2 linked regions of the Bombyx mori genome follow. The protein of the gene in region 2 binds, or shares a complex with, the protein of the main gene of each other region. Links are inferred from orthologs where the notes say so. Each region holds a gene or a part of one and is shown on either strand. Other genes may lie near its edges.

What was found. Proteins that work in one complex are often made in the same cells at the same time.
Region 1: the proteins of origin recognition complex subunit 4 (region 2) and ORC5 are in contact, whole or in part, in a cryo-EM structure (PDB 7JPO), measured with the Homo sapiens proteins. The link is inferred for Bombyx mori from reciprocal best matches to the Homo sapiens genes ORC4 and ORC5. Residues at the interface, in NP_001177808.1 of Homo sapiens: Ser18, Gln21, Arg22, Arg25, Glu26, Cys29, Arg30, Gln31, Arg69, Thr74, Asn100, Leu102, Leu103, Gln104, Ile105, Ile109, Glu113, Arg116, Asp162, Arg277, Met281, Met284, Leu285, Asn288, Met311, Asp312, Ser313, Lys314, Asn316, Ile317; in NP_002544.1 of Homo sapiens: Ile17, Ser20, Leu21, Phe22, Gly23, Glu24, His26, His27, Phe28, Ser29, Phe30, Pro31, Tyr36, Gly37, His38, Thr39, Thr98, Phe99, Asn100, Val103, Arg104, Arg131, Glu134, Asn136, Pro139, Gly140, Arg143, Gln145, Glu146, Leu147.

What each region holds. Positions count from the first base shown.
Region 1 is NC_085126.1:11,149,321-11,157,206, reverse strand, and holds ORC5 (origin recognition complex subunit 5), read left to right. Parts: upstream 1-3,378; 5' UTR 3,379-3,450; coding exon 3,451-4,833; 3' UTR 4,834-4,889; downstream 4,890-7,886. Other genes in the region: cyclic AMP-regulated protein, read right to left, coding at 2,941-3,057, 5,139-5,268. UniProt on the Homo sapiens protein: Component of the origin recognition complex (ORC) that binds origins of replication. DNA-binding is ATP-dependent. The specific DNA sequences that define origins of replication have not been identified yet.
Region 2 is NC_085108.1:2,850,043-2,859,016, forward strand, and holds the start of origin recognition complex subunit 4, read right to left. Parts: upstream 4,312-8,974; 5' UTR 4,166-4,311; coding exon 3,956-4,165; intron 3,294-3,955; coding exon 3,168-3,293; intron 2,571-3,167; coding exon 2,348-2,570; intron 1,509-2,347; coding exon 1,284-1,508; intron 380-1,283; coding exon 159-379; intron 1-158. Other genes in the region: synaptic vesicle glycoprotein 2C, read left to right, coding at 8,279-8,396. UniProt on the Homo sapiens protein: Component of the origin recognition complex (ORC) that binds origins of replication. DNA-binding is ATP-dependent. The specific DNA sequences that define origins of replication have not been identified yet.

The DNA.
Region 1 (7,886 bases), on a different chromosome or scaffold from region 2:
TAATATTGTTTAATATCTCAAAATCTAATATTAAAAGGCATTTGAAAGAAGAAAATGTGTCAAGTTACGCGATCCCGCGCCACGTACACGGCCGCTCTGATTATAACCCGAAGTTTCAAAGGGCTCAATCAGCACGCAATGTACAGCATCGATTTTGATAATATTGTTTTAAGTCAGTCAAAATGTTCATTGGTTCATGTTATTGACTATGTCAGTAGCCGGTAGTAGGGAGGCCCGACCTGACACATATCGGTCGGGAAGCTGGCATGCCTTCCGGGCTGGAAGACCTCATGCCTCAAGGTAACGGCCCAACTGGCGTTAAGTGATCACCAGTGATCACCGGAGCTCACCACAGCCCGAGTTCCATAGCGACGTTGAAACCAGTTCGTACCCTCAATTTAGCATCGGTATGATTTTTTGTATGACACAGCGATATAGCGCATAGATATACAGTAATGCCCCTTATAACACGGTACCCTTATAATGTATTTTCATATAACGCGATTTCAGTCCCTAGTATAACACGGGCATTCCCCCATATAACGCTGGGATTTGTAACGTTATATTTCTGTACTGTGAAATTTAATATCTGTACAGTTCATAATGAATTTGGCGTACCTTTGCACATTGTGTCAATTGTGTTGTTATAAAAATAAATTAAATTAATTTATTCAATTTTTGTTCCTAGTTTTTGAATTGTAAAAACATTGGCATTATTGTATTATATATGTACATATATATTTTTTGTATATAACGCGTTATATGGGGTCATACAAAAGCGTTTTTTGTGAATACTACAACGCGTTTCCTATAACGCGGAACCAATCTACCGTGTAATAGGGGGAATTACTGTAAATATAAAAAAAAAAAGGTCTGTAGCGAAGTGTCGCTGCCAGCAACGCGAACCAACGAGCTTCTTAAGAAAATAGAGAGTACTAAACAAAAATCAGATTTTTTTTATTATTTTTTTATAATTATTATCCATTATATTTATTTAGGTACAAACATAATTTTGTTCTAAACGACCTTCCAAAATGAGCGATGTGGGGTGATAATATTTTAACATTAATAATTTTTGTATGCATTTGATCCGCATTGAAAAAGCGCCTTAAAATAAAACGAATAAGCAATATTAAGTAATTTAATTAATGTACAATAAAACTGTTGTTTGTAAAATTGTTACCATCTCGTTCAACTTATACAAAATGTAATGTTGTACTATATTAATGTATTTGTAAGTGAAAATAGCGTGGGAAGTATTTTAATGCTTATCTAGAATACAGGGTTTTGTGTATCCTTCAACTATTTGAGTCGACTATTATCAAAGCCGGCAATGTGACTTTTGGACAATTATTGGTAAATCAGAAAAACGAATTATTGACTTTGTATTCCATTGGCAGCCACAAAACTCTTCTGAACGAGATCTTAGATAAATAACAGGTTAAGTATTAACCTTTATTTAATGCAGGTTTTGAACCGTATTCTTTGAAGGAGACGATTATATTCAAATCAATCTGTATTGACATATCAATAACATTTTCTTGTTCAAATGCACAGATTGCCACCTTTGATAATAGACGACTCATTTGTTGTTCAAATCTGAAAAATAATTCACTTGCTGATTCATTGCCTTAATGTGATGAATTAAATAAAAAATCTGTTGTTTTTCAATTAAAGACCATGAATATATTTAGTAGCCAAATTAAAAGGCAGATTTTTTTTTTTAGTAATAAGTAAATAAATGTGTTCCATCAGAACCAAGTCGCAGTGTCACCTTATATTTTTATTAAGGAACTATGTGGTATTACCGATCACTATTCTAACATTTTATTCTTTTTTTTTTGCAAAATAAAAAACTTAATATTTGGGTAGCCATTGTTGTTTTATTCCGTATGATATGACCTAGGATACGCGTAGATCCGCTGAGAGGTACTTATCATCGGCAAATATCTTACTGTTAATGTATAGTATAAATGAGGTCCGTCAGCGCAAAAGTGGTCTAAGCTTACCATAGTTATTATGGAGATATTGAGATTTGAATTTATCTTTACAATACTTCGCCAGCCAAAAAATACGTCCAAAAATAATGTTTACAAAGGCATCTGTTATCTGTGTGAAACTTGGGCGATTTTGCATCAAAATTTATTATGTATTAAATAAATTGCAATACATAAAGACGAATATGAATTGTGGGTTAAGGCACTTTTGCGCTGACCGCCTCAAATATCTTATAAACTTCCTAGTGAAATGATGATGGTCGTTGAAAATACTGACTTTGCGAACATGAGTTGAATCTACGAAAATGGATGGGTATTTAACAGATTCCTCTTCTGGTAGAAATATTTATTACCAAAGTAACATTCCGTTAGTCTTCAATAATTTGAAAAACATCGCAAGCAAACGAAAACGCCGACACTCAAAGTTTCTGACACACCGGAATGAAACAAAAAATATATTGGAAATCATGGTTTTATTGATATCAATTTACATTACTAGTCAATGTATAAAAAGCTTGTTTACATTAAATTCAATTTAGTATTAAAGATTTTTAAAAATTTTAAGTAAAAAATAAATGCGTTCACCGCGCTTACTAAAATGCACGACAGATTATCTACTTTTTATTTGGTAAATCCTTATTAAAACTACACTGAAGAATATTATATAACATGTGTATTTTTGAAAAATAAATAATGAATTTCTATACGTGATTAAAAATGTGATCAATTTGACACAAGATAATAAAAATGACTAATGAATTATTGCTCGACTACAAAAATGGCCAAGCCACGGCCCCAATTAAAATATAAGTCCTAAAATCCACTTGTAAAATATTTTTATGTATAATATTGTATCTTTGCACTCATTATTTATATAATAGAATGAAAGAGACAATATTCGTTTAAAATTCCATGTGGCAAGTGCGGGGCAAACATTTTCTATTCATAAATCTCTAACGCCAGTGCCGTAGTTCGCTCCCCCTGCCCTATTGAGTGCATCCTTGAATTGGTCGATGTCTATCTCAGACTGATTTTCAAGTTGCAACTCCACAGCAAAGTTCTGAAACATAATAAAAACTAGTTAATTGAGAACTAGCATTGAAATTGAAAGGTGAGTGAAACTAGACCTTCCTAATTTCAAATTATTTTTTTATATATTTGTGTCTGTCAATATCTGTCTGATAATAATAAAATATTAATAAAACAAGGTTCTAATAATTAATTTTAAATCCAAATGAATTACGAATAAAACGAATTAAAGTAGGTATCTTTTTTGATTCTCAATATTCGTCGTACTAAGCCGGCACTTTATTTGAAGCACAGACTATCAAATGAAATTTACAAAGTTCAAAGTTGTCAAAATTGGAATGTGCGCAAAAATGTCAAACCTGAACATACGTTATAGAATTGAATTAACACAAAAGCTTACGTAAATAAAATAAATTATATTAAAATGGATGAAATATACAGTAAAGTTGTGTGCAGAGAGAATCAGTTAAACGATTTGTTCAATTTATTCGGAGATGACAACGAACCATTGCCGTGTTCTATTTTTATAAGTGGAAGTATGGCAACCGGCAAAACGTTATGCTTACAAACTGTTCTCAATTATTTAAGTTATAAACATGTATTTGTCGACTGTATCGAGTGTTATTCGTCAAAGATAATGTTCGAGAACATATTGTCTGCCCTCAACGATGAAGACGAGGACGTGAAATGTGAAAATTTCATGGATTTTATAAACTGTTTGAACCGGCTTCAAAATAATTATGAACCAATAGTAATTGTATTCGATAGAGTCGAGAGACTACGCAACATGGATCAGAACCTCTTGCCAGTGCTACTAAAGCTTAGAGAATTTTGTAAATTGAACATCTGCACGATATTGGTGACGCATTTGATATTCGAAAATTTTAATTTCAAATTCGGTGTACGAGAGCCCATAAAACTCTACTTCCCTAACTATAACAAAGAAGAGTTATTCAGGATAATATTTCTCTACCAAAAATCATTTGTACAGCATTTGCTGAACCATTTTGACATAGAAGATGAAACAACAGAACTAATTGAAAAACCAGAGTTATTTGCAAACTTCTTGAATGCATTCTTGAGTGTATTCTATAGGCCATGTCGAGACCTTATTGAATTAAAGCATATGGCACGCCTAAACTTCATCAAATACTGTGAACCAATCATAAAAGGTGAAATACAATCAAATGATCTAACTAAATTGTGGAGACACATCTCACCAATCTTGAAAACAAGCCTAGAACTTTTATACTTAAGAATTAGTGATATGAGGCAATTCAAACCTTCACCGGGTAAAGAAAACAGTGAAAGCTTATATGCCAAAGAATTCTGTCTGGAGAAAACGTTAAAAGATGAACTTTCTTCTACAAAAACATTTGCACAAAGCTTCGAACTACCATACTTTGCGAAATACTTACTAATTGCAGCATATTTGGCTAGCTACAATCCGCCCAAAGAAGACAAGAGATTGTTTATGAAGAACCACGGGAAACAACGTAAACAAATGAGACAAATCAAAGCAAAGGCTAAAATTAATGAAAAATTAAGTACACAGCTCGGTCCTAAAGTTTTTACTTTAGATCGATTGTTGGCAATATTCTATGCTATCTTAGAAGATAAGATCGGTTTAACCAGCAATCTGTTGGCACAAATAGCGACATTAGTTGAGCTAAAATTGATAGCGGGAAGCAAAGAGATAGATTTAGATACAGCAAAATATAAATGTATTGTTGGCTATGATTTCATTTCAGCCATTGCTCAGACTGTCGGTTTTAACATTAGAAAATATTTGTATGATTTTATTTGATGTATTGCTGTCAAGTTGCGATACATATTTCTCTAATAAACATTTTTCTGAAACAATTTGATTTTTAGTACTTATATGGGTAAATGAGCTCATGGTCCATGGTTCCAACCAATTTGAAAAATGAGGTCAAAGTCCAATCCGTATTATTAAAATAGCTGGCACATCCTGCAATTCGGAACAATTTTTTTGATAATTTTTTTTTCAATTTCGTGATTAATTTAGGGAGATGTTTAGGATTGAACAAAAAGAAGCTGTAAGCACGCGGGGGAAGAACTTATCCAAAAATAAAATGGGCTTATACGAACCGATATGATGTCCTTGATGATAGCTTTGTCGGTGGACATCTTGGCTCGGTTGATCACAGACACGTTCGGTCCTACCCACGTCATGAACATAAATTTCTTGCGTTTAGACATCTCGTCTCCCATCTGCAACCTTCAGTCCAAAAAATTTATTAAAACAAATATGTGTAATGCAACACACATCTGTTGGACTACGCGAGCCAAGACTTAATTAGAACTCTTTTTACCGATTTATCACGCGGTTTTTGTATTTCTTATTAACCACGTCTCCAATTATTTATAGTTTCCGATCACTCGGCGCCTCAATCATTATTAATAATCACTTTGGTGCTGAGCTTAATTTTACATATTTTTCAAAAAAAGCTAAGGAATTCAGAAAGAAATTACCCACAAAAAAATTTAAATAACTTAAAAATACAAAAATTCATTCACGAAGCAGCTACTGTCGAGTGGTTAGGTCTCCTTTGGAGGCGCTCGGGTAGCTGTTAGTAAATCCCACCCCTCTTGGCTGAGCGCGTGCTCGCCCACCTGTCCTGGTGAAACTGGAAAGGCCTCCGGGCCACCAGTAATCCCTCAAAAAAAGAATCCCAGCTTGGGGTTGGGTGGTAGATGTGTCGCATGTGTCCCTGGTATTATTCATCTGGTCGTGAAAGTTTGTTGGAGGTTTGAGAATTTTTTTTTTTTTTTTTTTTATTGCCCTTGTAGGCAGACGAGCATACGGCCCACCTGATGGTGAGTGGTTACCGTCGCCCATGGACTTCAGCAATGCCAGGGGCAGAGCCAAGCCGCTGCCTATCGCTTAATACTCTCCACAAGCCTCTTTTAAAGAAGGACATGTCATAGCGCTCGGGAAACACCGTGGAGGGGAGCTCATTCCATAGCCGGATGGTACGTGGCAGAAAAGACCTCTGGAAACGCACTGTCGATGACCGCAGTGGCTCCAGGTAGTATGGATGAACTCTACTCCGGTGGCGGGCGGTGCGATGGTAAAAACGAGATGCCGGTATCATCTCGAACAATTCCTCAGAGCACTCCCCATGGAACATTCGGTACAAACTACAGAGGGAACCGAAGTCCCTCCGCAGACCCAAAGGTTCCAAACGATCCGCGAGAATGGGATTATCGACGATTCGAACGGCCCTCCTCTGTATGGAGTCAAATGGAAGAAGCTGGTATTTGGGAGCCCCGGCCCAGAGATGGGAACAGTACTCCACGCGAGGCCGGACTTGTGCTTTATAAAGCAAAAGTCTTTGTCCAGGCGTGAAATACCGCTTCGCTCTGTTGAGGACTCCCAGCATTTTGGACGCCAACTTGGCTTTGCCTTCCAAATGACTCCGAAATTGGACATCACTCGAAATGTCGACCCCAAGTATCCCGATGCTCGCGGAAGGTTGCAGGGATACTCCTTGGAATTGCGGCGCCATGACAAAGGGGTCCTTCTTCGCAGTGAACGCGCAAACTTGTGTCTTCAACGGGTTGAATTGAACTAAGTTCGATTCACCCCACTCGGAGACTCGCCCCAGAGAGTTCTCCACTTCAGACACAAGTTTTGATCGTCTCTCTTGCACCACGCTCCGAGAAAGACTCTGATGGCCGATATATCGCGCATCCCCCGTGCTGTCATCCGCATAGCAATGCATGCCATCAATAGACAGCATGTCATTGATATACAGGATGAAAAGCGTGGGGGAGAGCACCGAACCTTGTGGAACGCCAGCATTAATGGTCATGGTATCAGAACAATCACCGTCCACAACGACCGTGATGCTCCGCCCATCCAGAAAGCTAGCGATCCACTTGCAGAGACCCTCGGGGATTCCGTAAGATGGAAGCTTCGACAGAAGCGCCTTATGCCAGACCCTGTCGAAGGCCTTCGCGATATCAAGGCTCACAGCAAGAGCCTCGCCCTTGCTCTCCAAGGCTTCAGCCCACCTGTGAGTAAGGTATACAAGAAGATCGCCAGCTGAACGACCGTGACGGAAACCGTACTGTCGGTCACTGATCAGCTGGCGATCTTCAAGATACTTCAGGAGTTGTGTGTTTATTATTCGCTCCATCACCTTGGAAAGCAAGGAAGTTATCGCGATAGGCCTATAGCTCGATGGGTCCGACCGGTCACCCTTCTTGGGGATAGGGTGGACGTGGGCGGTCTTCCATGAAGACGGAACCCTGTTAGTGCAATAAGAGAGGCGATACAAACGCGTTAGCGCAGGCGTCAGCTCAGGGGCGCACTTTTTCAGAACCACTGCGGGGATGCCGTCTGGCCCACTCGACTTATGGACGTCCAGGAGTCGGAGCTCCCGCCTGACTGCACACTGTGTGAAGCAGATATCCGGCAGGGAGCTATCACACCGGGGGATGTTCGGTGGTGTGGCACCCCCGTCGTCCACAGTCGAGTTCGAGGCGAAGAGTTTGACCAGAAGGTCAGCCTTCTCTTTCGCGCTGTGGGCCAGAGTGTCATCGGACTTGCGCAGTGGTGGGAGACTAGACCTGCAAAAGTTTCCTTCTGCAGCTTTGGCGAGCGACCAAAAAGCACGGCTCCCAGAGGGATAGCTCTTTAGTCGCTCGCCAACTCTAGCAACGTGCTCCGACTTCGCCTTGGCAATTACCTTCTTGTAGGACCTGGAGGCGGCGTTATATTTCCGCCTTTCCTCTGAGATGTTAGGATCCCGACGCCTCCTGGCATCATCCCATGCCACGTATGCGGACCGCTTGAGGTGTGCAGCATCCCTGCTGGCATTGTTATACCAG
Region 2 (8,974 bases):
ACCAGGTGGGCTGTGAGCTCGTCTACCCATCGAGTTTGTATCAACAAGTTATCCCTGATTGAGGCCGTAGGCCAAGTCATCCTCGTGTTGTTAAAATAATCCTTTGCACTTCCAACAATTAAGTACAGGAAAAAATATACAATAAAGTTCGAACTTACCAAAACATTCCTAAAAGTTTGCTCATCAACGGTATAGTAACATAGCTTCTCTAAAGCGTCAATGACTTTTTCGTTTTCAATCAAACTTCTGATATGGGCATTCCAGTCGCTCACAAAGGCTCGGTCCATCGTAGACAAACATTGCTCGTCGAGTTTCCCTTTTAATATATGTTCTGGTATTGCAAAGACTGTGGATGTGCAGGCCGTTTCATCAGTTTTGGCTGAAAAAATGTTACTAAATTAATTTATTTATCGATACATCAATCATTGGACATCCACTGCTGGATATAGACCTCCTTTAAGGATATTTACATTGCTACAGAATAATTTAAAATATTAAGGAAATCGTATTCTATAAAACAAAAGTGACTAGACCTGTGAAATTTGTTTGTCTCATTCATAAATTCATTCGCTCGTTCATTAATTTTACAGTCGTCGTGGCCTAAAGGATAAGACGTCCGGTGCATTCGTATCGAGCGATGCACCGGTGTTCGAATCCCGCAGGCGGGTACCAATTTTTCTAATGAAATACGTACTCAACAAATGTTCTCGATCGACTTCCACGGTGAAGAGTGAAGGAATAACATCGTGCAATAAAAATTAAAGCCGCAAAATTATAATTTGCGTAATTACTGGTGGTAGGACTCCTTGTGGGTCCGCGCGAGTAGGTAGCACCGCCCTGCCTATTTCTGCCGTGAAGCAGTAATGCGTTTCGGTTTGAAGGGCGGAGCAGCTGTTGTAACTAAACTTGAGACCTTAGAACTTATATCTCAAGGTGGGTGGCGCATTTACATCGTAGATGTATATGGGCTCCAATAACCACTTAACACCAGGAGGGCTCTGAGCTCGTCCACCCAAATAAACAATAAAAAAATAAAAAGTCATTATTAATCATTATTATTATTATTAATTAATTCATCTTTCCTTCTATACAGAAAAAAAAAAACTAGGTATCTAATAACAATGTGTAAGCAAAACTTATTATCTACTTTACAAATATTAGATTTCCGGCCACTGCTTCTCCGGCGACAAAGCATGAGGCGGCATGTGCGGACACGCATTCAATGCAGTGGGATGAAATATAATCTAGTATAGAATATCACGTAAGCAATTATATTAGCTCACCGATGGACTTCCTTGATTTTCTTTTCTTCCTCGGCGACACAGAACCCTCCAGGGGCAGACTCAGCAATTCCACAAACAATCTCTTTCTCCCTTCCAGAGGCGAGATAATATCATACCGGTCATCATCATTGACTTCATTAGGAAATATGAATATGTGACGATGGGAAAAACGGGATTTGACCCTTTTTTCAAACAACTCCATAATGTCTAAGCGATTTGTTACACCTGTGCACAGTAAGGAAGCATGATATTTAATGAAATGAAGATTTAACATCTTCGAGCAAGGATTTCTCCTGTGTTAATGGTAATGGAAAGACACATAGAAACAAGTAGGCATCAAATACCAAATATATTTAAGACTAGCTAGGCATTATTATTATTTCTCACCCCCAGAAAGATTCTCGTCATTAACGCCCCCGCAACTGGTGTAGGAAGTTTTTTTTATTTTTTTTATTTATTGCTTAGATGGGTGGACGAGCTCACAGCCACCTGGTGTTAAGTGGTTACTGGAGCCCATAGACGTCTATAACGTAAATGCGCCACCCACCTTGAGATAAGTTCTAAGGTCTCAGTATAGTTACAACGGCTGCCCCACCCTTCAAACCGAAACGCATTACTGCTTCACGGCAGAAATAGGCAGGGTGGTGGTACCTACCCGTGCGGACTCACAAGAGGTCCTACCACCAGTAAGTCCAACACTCATATAAATATTAGCCTATCCATTAAGTACATGTATTTTCTACATGGATACCAATTTTCATGTCAATCGAACGCATGGTTCAGTAGTTATAATGGAACATCCGTAAAAACCACTGTAGATTTATATATTAGTATAGATGTGTGATAGTATGAAGTGAAGATACATTATTAATTTTAAAACGTGACAAGCAGATTAAGTCGCATTTTAATGCCTATGATGGATAACCTACACAACATGTATTAAAGGATAAGCAAGGACTGTAGCAATGTTAATGCCATCACCACAGTGATGCCAAAGGCCAGTCTCAATCGTATATTATAACATATTCTGAGAAAAACAACAAAAACAATCTCAGCGAACTTACCGATAACACACATAGGAGCCGTCTGTGAATGAGTTACGTCAAATAAGTTATACAGTAATGTCTGGGAGATACCGCTGTGGCAAAACATGTCACACTGGTCTAGAATGAATACCATGCTTCGACATCGTCTGTCAACACCAGTCTGGATGCAGCTTAACAAAAACGAGAGGTTCTCGGCAAAGGTACCGAAAACTCGTTCACCCACAGTATTTTCTAATTGCATCTGTAAAGAATAGTGTAGGTGAGTCCATCTTAGTTGGTGAGGCTTCAATTTAATTCAGATTAGTTAAGCCTGCCTTTAATTATACTGTGGTTAAGACACCAGTAGTCAAGCTTCAAAAGTGGCCAAGGTTTTGCCATTGTGTTGTCCCCCTACCAAGACCTTGGCTACAGATTTTTTTCTCATATCCAATGCATTAGTGAAGAGTCAACCACCATGTTTATCATATTATTACAGTCTAGTCCAGTGTTTCCCAACCTTTTTTGTGCCATGCCCCACTGTAACATTTTTAAATTTTTTATGCCCCCCATACATAATTTTAGCATAATAAAATAATTTCAATACAATTTTCTTTATTGATTTAATGCAATTGCCCTTCTTAATTATCAAATTGCCAACTTGTAGGCTATGGGCACCACGTTGGGAAACACTGGTCTAGTCTATTACACACAATGGTCTTTAGTTAAGTACAATTCACTATCCTATTCAGAACAAAATATAATAGAAAAACCTTTCCTGCTATACAGGAATACAATTGAACAAACATTAATAGAATTCTTTTTGACATTTTTATTAGATTCATAAAAAGGCCTCAATCACCTGCGCTGTGATAGCTTTAAGGGCCAGTTTATCATCACTATGTACAAGGCCATTCAGTTGAATTATAATAGCATCATTCTCCAAATCTGTCTCTCTAGAGAGCTGGTGAAGTACCGAGTTTAGTAGCTGAAATGAAATGTTTTACCATTATTGAAAGGTCACAACAGATAACATTTTCTGTACAGAGGCCCTTGCTTCACCTTATATTAAATTGTAACTAGAAAGTGAGAGAGAGAGAATATACTTTATATGCACACCAAAACACAATTAACAATAGAAAACAGTCAACAAGCAGATCCATTTGTACAAATCTTATCATCTCATCATCAAGAGATCTCTTCCAGACAGCCACTTAACTATACAGAAATTCTGGAAAAGATAAAGATATAGCAGGTATGTTGCTATGTACTACTAGCAATACATTATTAAAGAAAATATAAAGAAAATAATAAAAGTGATGGGATCTGAACAAAAATATCATTCATGGGTCAGGTAGAATTCAGAATTGTATTGTTTGACAATCATCCTAGCTTCCACGCTGGAATGCACTGCTACTTCATAAAAAATAGGCAGAATCCAACATACCTACCCAAATAGACTGACAGTAAACCATACCACTCTTAAATCTTGCTGCATTATATATACCTATCTATCACATATGTATCTGTCACATGAAGAGCTGAGAGCGGCCACAATCACCTATATTGTGCTAAGCTGGTGGACATAAAACAATTTAAAAATATTGTAAATTAAATCCGCGAATTGTATATTGAAGCACAAGAACTTACAGTGGTTTTTCCACTACTTCTCGGCCCTATAAGTAAAGCCGAATGCGATTCTCCTTGTAAGACAGTTCTTCTTAATAATTCGTACACATGATTTCTTTCCTGGTCGTGCCCCCGAAACAATACATTGTCTTCTATTAATTTCAATTTTATGTACTTCCTTACAAGTTTTATTTGAATAGCCAACGGGTCTGTATCCATTGATCCACGCATTTTCTCAGACAATGTTATTTATGATTATTTTGTGAAGTGTTTTAGCTTTATACATCGAAGCATAAAATTATTTAATAAATATTTAAAATGAGTTCAAAAAGAAATTTTCGCGGCATAAAATGTCATCCCAAGAAACATCAAACAGCATGACAGTTGACACTGTCAATTAGAGATGTCCTTCAATAATCACCATAGATTATACACTTAATATATTTGAGATTACTGATTGTTCACCATAGTCTACTAAGTATTACGGAGGTAAAGATATTTCTACCCTCCATACTAAGTATGTCAACTACACATTTTGAGATTAAATCGTATTCACCCGTTTTGTCTACTTTGCTCCTAGTTTATAAATGTGCATAAAGCTGAGTTTACAAGTAAATATGGCTTTTATGATGTATCGAAAAGAAACTTTGAAAATAAATTGGCATGTTTCGTTCTGTTTAAATAAAATAGATAATAGCGTCAATTTTAAGTCTTGTACGTTGCAAGTACTCAGTGACTCTTTTAAATGAAAGAAAAGTGTTTGTAACTCAGGAGTATGCACGTTAATTTTTAAAGTAGATGATACTTCTTAAAATGTCTATGGCATGAAAGTAAAAGAGCGCATGCTCGTGAAATCTAATCAATAGACTAAATGAAACATATGATAACAAGAAAATCGAGATATAGCTCCGAATTTCTTCTAACAAATAGTTACATTTTTAGTTCACACCCTTAAGAATTAAAAACTTATAACGTGAAATATTTATTGAACTTAAGTATTTAAGCACTTTATAGTAGTTACAAGTATTCTTCATATGAATATAGGAGAACGTGTGAACTTGAACCGATCAAAGAAATATTTGTATTCATATCCCTGGATTTAATTCTCGTGTACATTGCCTAAAACTTCGTATTGTCCCGTTCTCGCATTTTGACGATTTCTAAAAATAAATCTTTAGTCCTCGTCATGACCTTAAATTCCACGGTTTTTGTGTACCCGTTCATATTATTGAAAATTGGGACAATCTGGAAATTAATTCAATTTGTTTCTTAAGAAGTTGATCGTAAAAAATTATACTTAAAAAGTGAACAAACCAAAGTTTTTCAAAATTTTATTTCGTATTCGTTCGTTTATTAACTATAAAAATTGCACCGTGGATTGTAGCTGAACACCCAACCATTTATGGAAAAAAGTGAAAATATTTTCGAAAAACAATGTGAATATCAGAATTATAGATGCAGCGTCGTGCGTTTTCCGAAATGAGAGTTTTTAATTAGTGCAGCAGGTTTCAACCACTTAAATTCATTTAGCAAATTCGCACAAGACACGAGCCCTAAATAATCACAATGTAATTTGTATTATAAATTATTATGTTATAGTGCAGCAGCAATTTGGCACAGCTTTGAATTTTATAAAAAAAGAAGTACCTAAATAGAGGAAGTCAATATTGCTTTAAGCTTAAAAATTGTAAGTTATAGTATTTAAGCTTAACGCCAGAATCATTAATATGATTACATTTTCATCATAGCACCAAAATATGCACAAAGTTTACCTTCAGACATGAATTCTCATACCCGCATTCATTCAAGGCCACTATTCAAAGTCAATGCCGCAATTTCACAGCAAACCGGTGTTTAGTGAATCGATACGTTACTCTTTTAGCTTAATATAAATTGATGTCTCACTCAGATCAGTAAGTGAAATAGTATTATATTATTAGGAAATTTAGCTATTGGACAACACTATCGATCCAAACTTAGAAAATATTTTGAAGATGGTTTGAGGCACGCAATGAACAGATTATTTGTGTATCTACCTGTTCAGAGATAGTTTTTTGATTTAACTGACAATATCTTTTTCTTTGTCTTTCTTGATGTTTATTCATAGATGATCCAACAGACACAAAATAAGTGTCATTTGTATAGATTTTATTCACAAAGAACTTGAGTTTAGAGAGCCTTATCACGATGGTCTTTTAAAAATAGTTTTACAAAAGTGTTTGTTGATCGATTGTATTAGACTAAAAGATTTGAAACTTAGAGACACAGATCACTGCTTTGTCGTGTGTGCCGATTTTCAAGCTCCTGTACTAATTAATTATTCAGCCAGGATATTTTCAGTTTTCTATTTCAAAGTAAGTATAGCAGATAGGTGGCGTATTATTTCAATTTTCATTATGTTGTAAGATTACAACACCGTTGTTAAGCATAGCATTGGCAGGTCTGAATTGTTTACAACAGTTTGTTTTCAAAATAAACTTGTTTGGGACCACAAACATTGATAACAAACAGCCATAAGATACAATGTAAAACAAAATAATATTAAATTATAAAAGTTTATGTTGCAGTCGAGACTATGTTATGTGCAGATTAATTAAAATTATGAATCATCCACAAGCCAATAACGCATTGTTCCATTTAATTTACAGGCAAGTATGTAGGCTAGAATATTAACTTTTATATTTTGTAAGTCCTGTTTTATGCATTGTATTATGACTGTTTGTTTTCCATGCATAAAAGTCCACACACAACATTCTTACTATTGTGATACATATGAGACTAATAAATAAAACTAACAATTTATGGATTCACTACACAGGTCCATTGTGTTATTGAGAGAGGAGGTTGAGAATGACACTGGATTTGTGACCCTAGCGTAAATTTAAGGAGCCCCTATCTATGTTCATTATACTTATCTTCATTCTCCCCATTCTCTCCCTGCCTAGCCATATTTGGTAGGAAACTATTAGTCTGGCTTTAGATGTTTAAACAAGTCTAGAATTTATGGAGTTTTGTTTTTTGAGAGCCAAGATTTTAGTGAGAGACTTCACTGGTATATCTCTTTACTTCACCAGCATATAACATACCAGCTATCCATATTTGATCAGCCCATTCCTGGGATCATAGTATAAGTTTGTTTGTTTGTGTGGTCTTAAGTCTGGAATGACCTTTAAATGAGTCGACTATTATCAAAGCCGGCAATCTGACTTTTGGACAATGATTGGTAAATCAGAAAAACGAATTATTGACTTTGTATTCCATTGGCAGTCACAAAACTCTTCGGAACGACATCTTAGATAAATAACAGGTTAACTATTAACCTTTATTTAATGCAGGTTTTGAACCGTATTCTTTGAAGGAGACGATTATATTCAAATCAATCTGTATTGACATATCAATAATTTTTTTTGTCCAAATGCACAGATTGCCACCTTTGATAATAGACGACTTTTGAGTGTAAAAAATTGTTAATTGTTTATACATCAGTGTAAATAATTATCTATTAAAATAAAGTAAATAATGTAAACCAACAAGTTTAGAACACATGGGCCTCGTCTTCTAGTTATTATTTGTAGTTTAGCTCTTACGACTCGACTACTGGCAAATTTTATTTCCAGGTTTTTTTTATTTGTATATTTTACTTTCTATGCTATGCTGTGTTTGTGCAGTCACTATCGATCCTTGTTGAAAACCATCCTTATGTTGAGTTGTTCTTAGGTTTATAGTATTTTCTTTTCTTTTATCACGGATAAAGTTTTGTCTTTTGTCAACATATGAATGCCTGTTAATGTAATCATCATCATCATCAGCCTTTATCTGCCCACTGCTGGACATAGGCCTTCCCCAATGCCTTCCACATAATGCGGTCCTCCGCCTTCCGCATCCAACTTATATTGTAATATAAATATTATTTTCCCACATAAAATAGTTCTATAGTTATAACTATTAGTGAGTAAATTGGATTATCTTAATTTTAATAACAATAATTCCGATTCTGAGTACAGCGGAAAGCTAAAGAGAAAAATGATGACTTCCGATTATTATTATTCATGTATTCATCTACATCATCATTGTGTATTTGTATGTATATTTATATTTATATTATGTGTGTATATGTATATACATATATATTGCAATTTATTGGTGTCTGCAAGAGATCGCTCTTAGTGATAAGACCGCCAATTGTACTTATTTTTTTGTATTTAATTGTTCCCATTGTTTCTTTTGTTGGTGTACAATAAAGAATACTCTCTCTCTCTCTCTTTCTTTCTTTCTCTCTTTCTAACTTTAATTATTTTCTATAGATGAGTCTTCTACCTGAAATTGACACGGCGATTAGTCACAATGGAAGAGGAACAAGCATGGCTTGTCCGAACGCGTTCCGACTCTGAGACATCCTCAAAGTTGAGCTTCGGTTCACTGTCACGGACAATGACATACACAGAGCACCGGCTCTCTGCTGGTAAGTGTGTTTGAAATGCTAATGCTTTAAATTGAAAAATTGTAAATTTTGCACATGGAAATTTTTTAAGTGATTTTCAGTATACAGACACACAGTTACATCAATTCAAATTGAACTAAAGATTATTCAGTGATTTTTGATTTTGATTGTCATTATTAATCTATGCTACGTTTATTAGTGGTGGATCGTTTATAAACATAGTGTTAGGTCAATTTTTATTAAATACACATGTAGTTATGAGTTACAGTTTGCCATTATCCACTTTGAGCAGTAACATTACTTAGTTTACTTTACTGTGTGAACCCTTGTGGGGTATAGGACAAGCTTACCAAGATAGGCTCCACTATCTTGCCTGTTTCTGCTGCCATGCAATCCTATATACCACTTTGGAATATATTGCACCCACTCACTTCGATAAAGTGGCACGACACGAGAACCCTCTCATCGTGGCCGCCGGTAACTACATTCCAGATCCTGCGGACAGAATGGAAAACAGTCGACGTCGCCCCAAACACGTCATTTCGGATCCTCCCGATCCATTAACGGTGCTTTTAGGTACCTCAAGCACCGGTCATCGT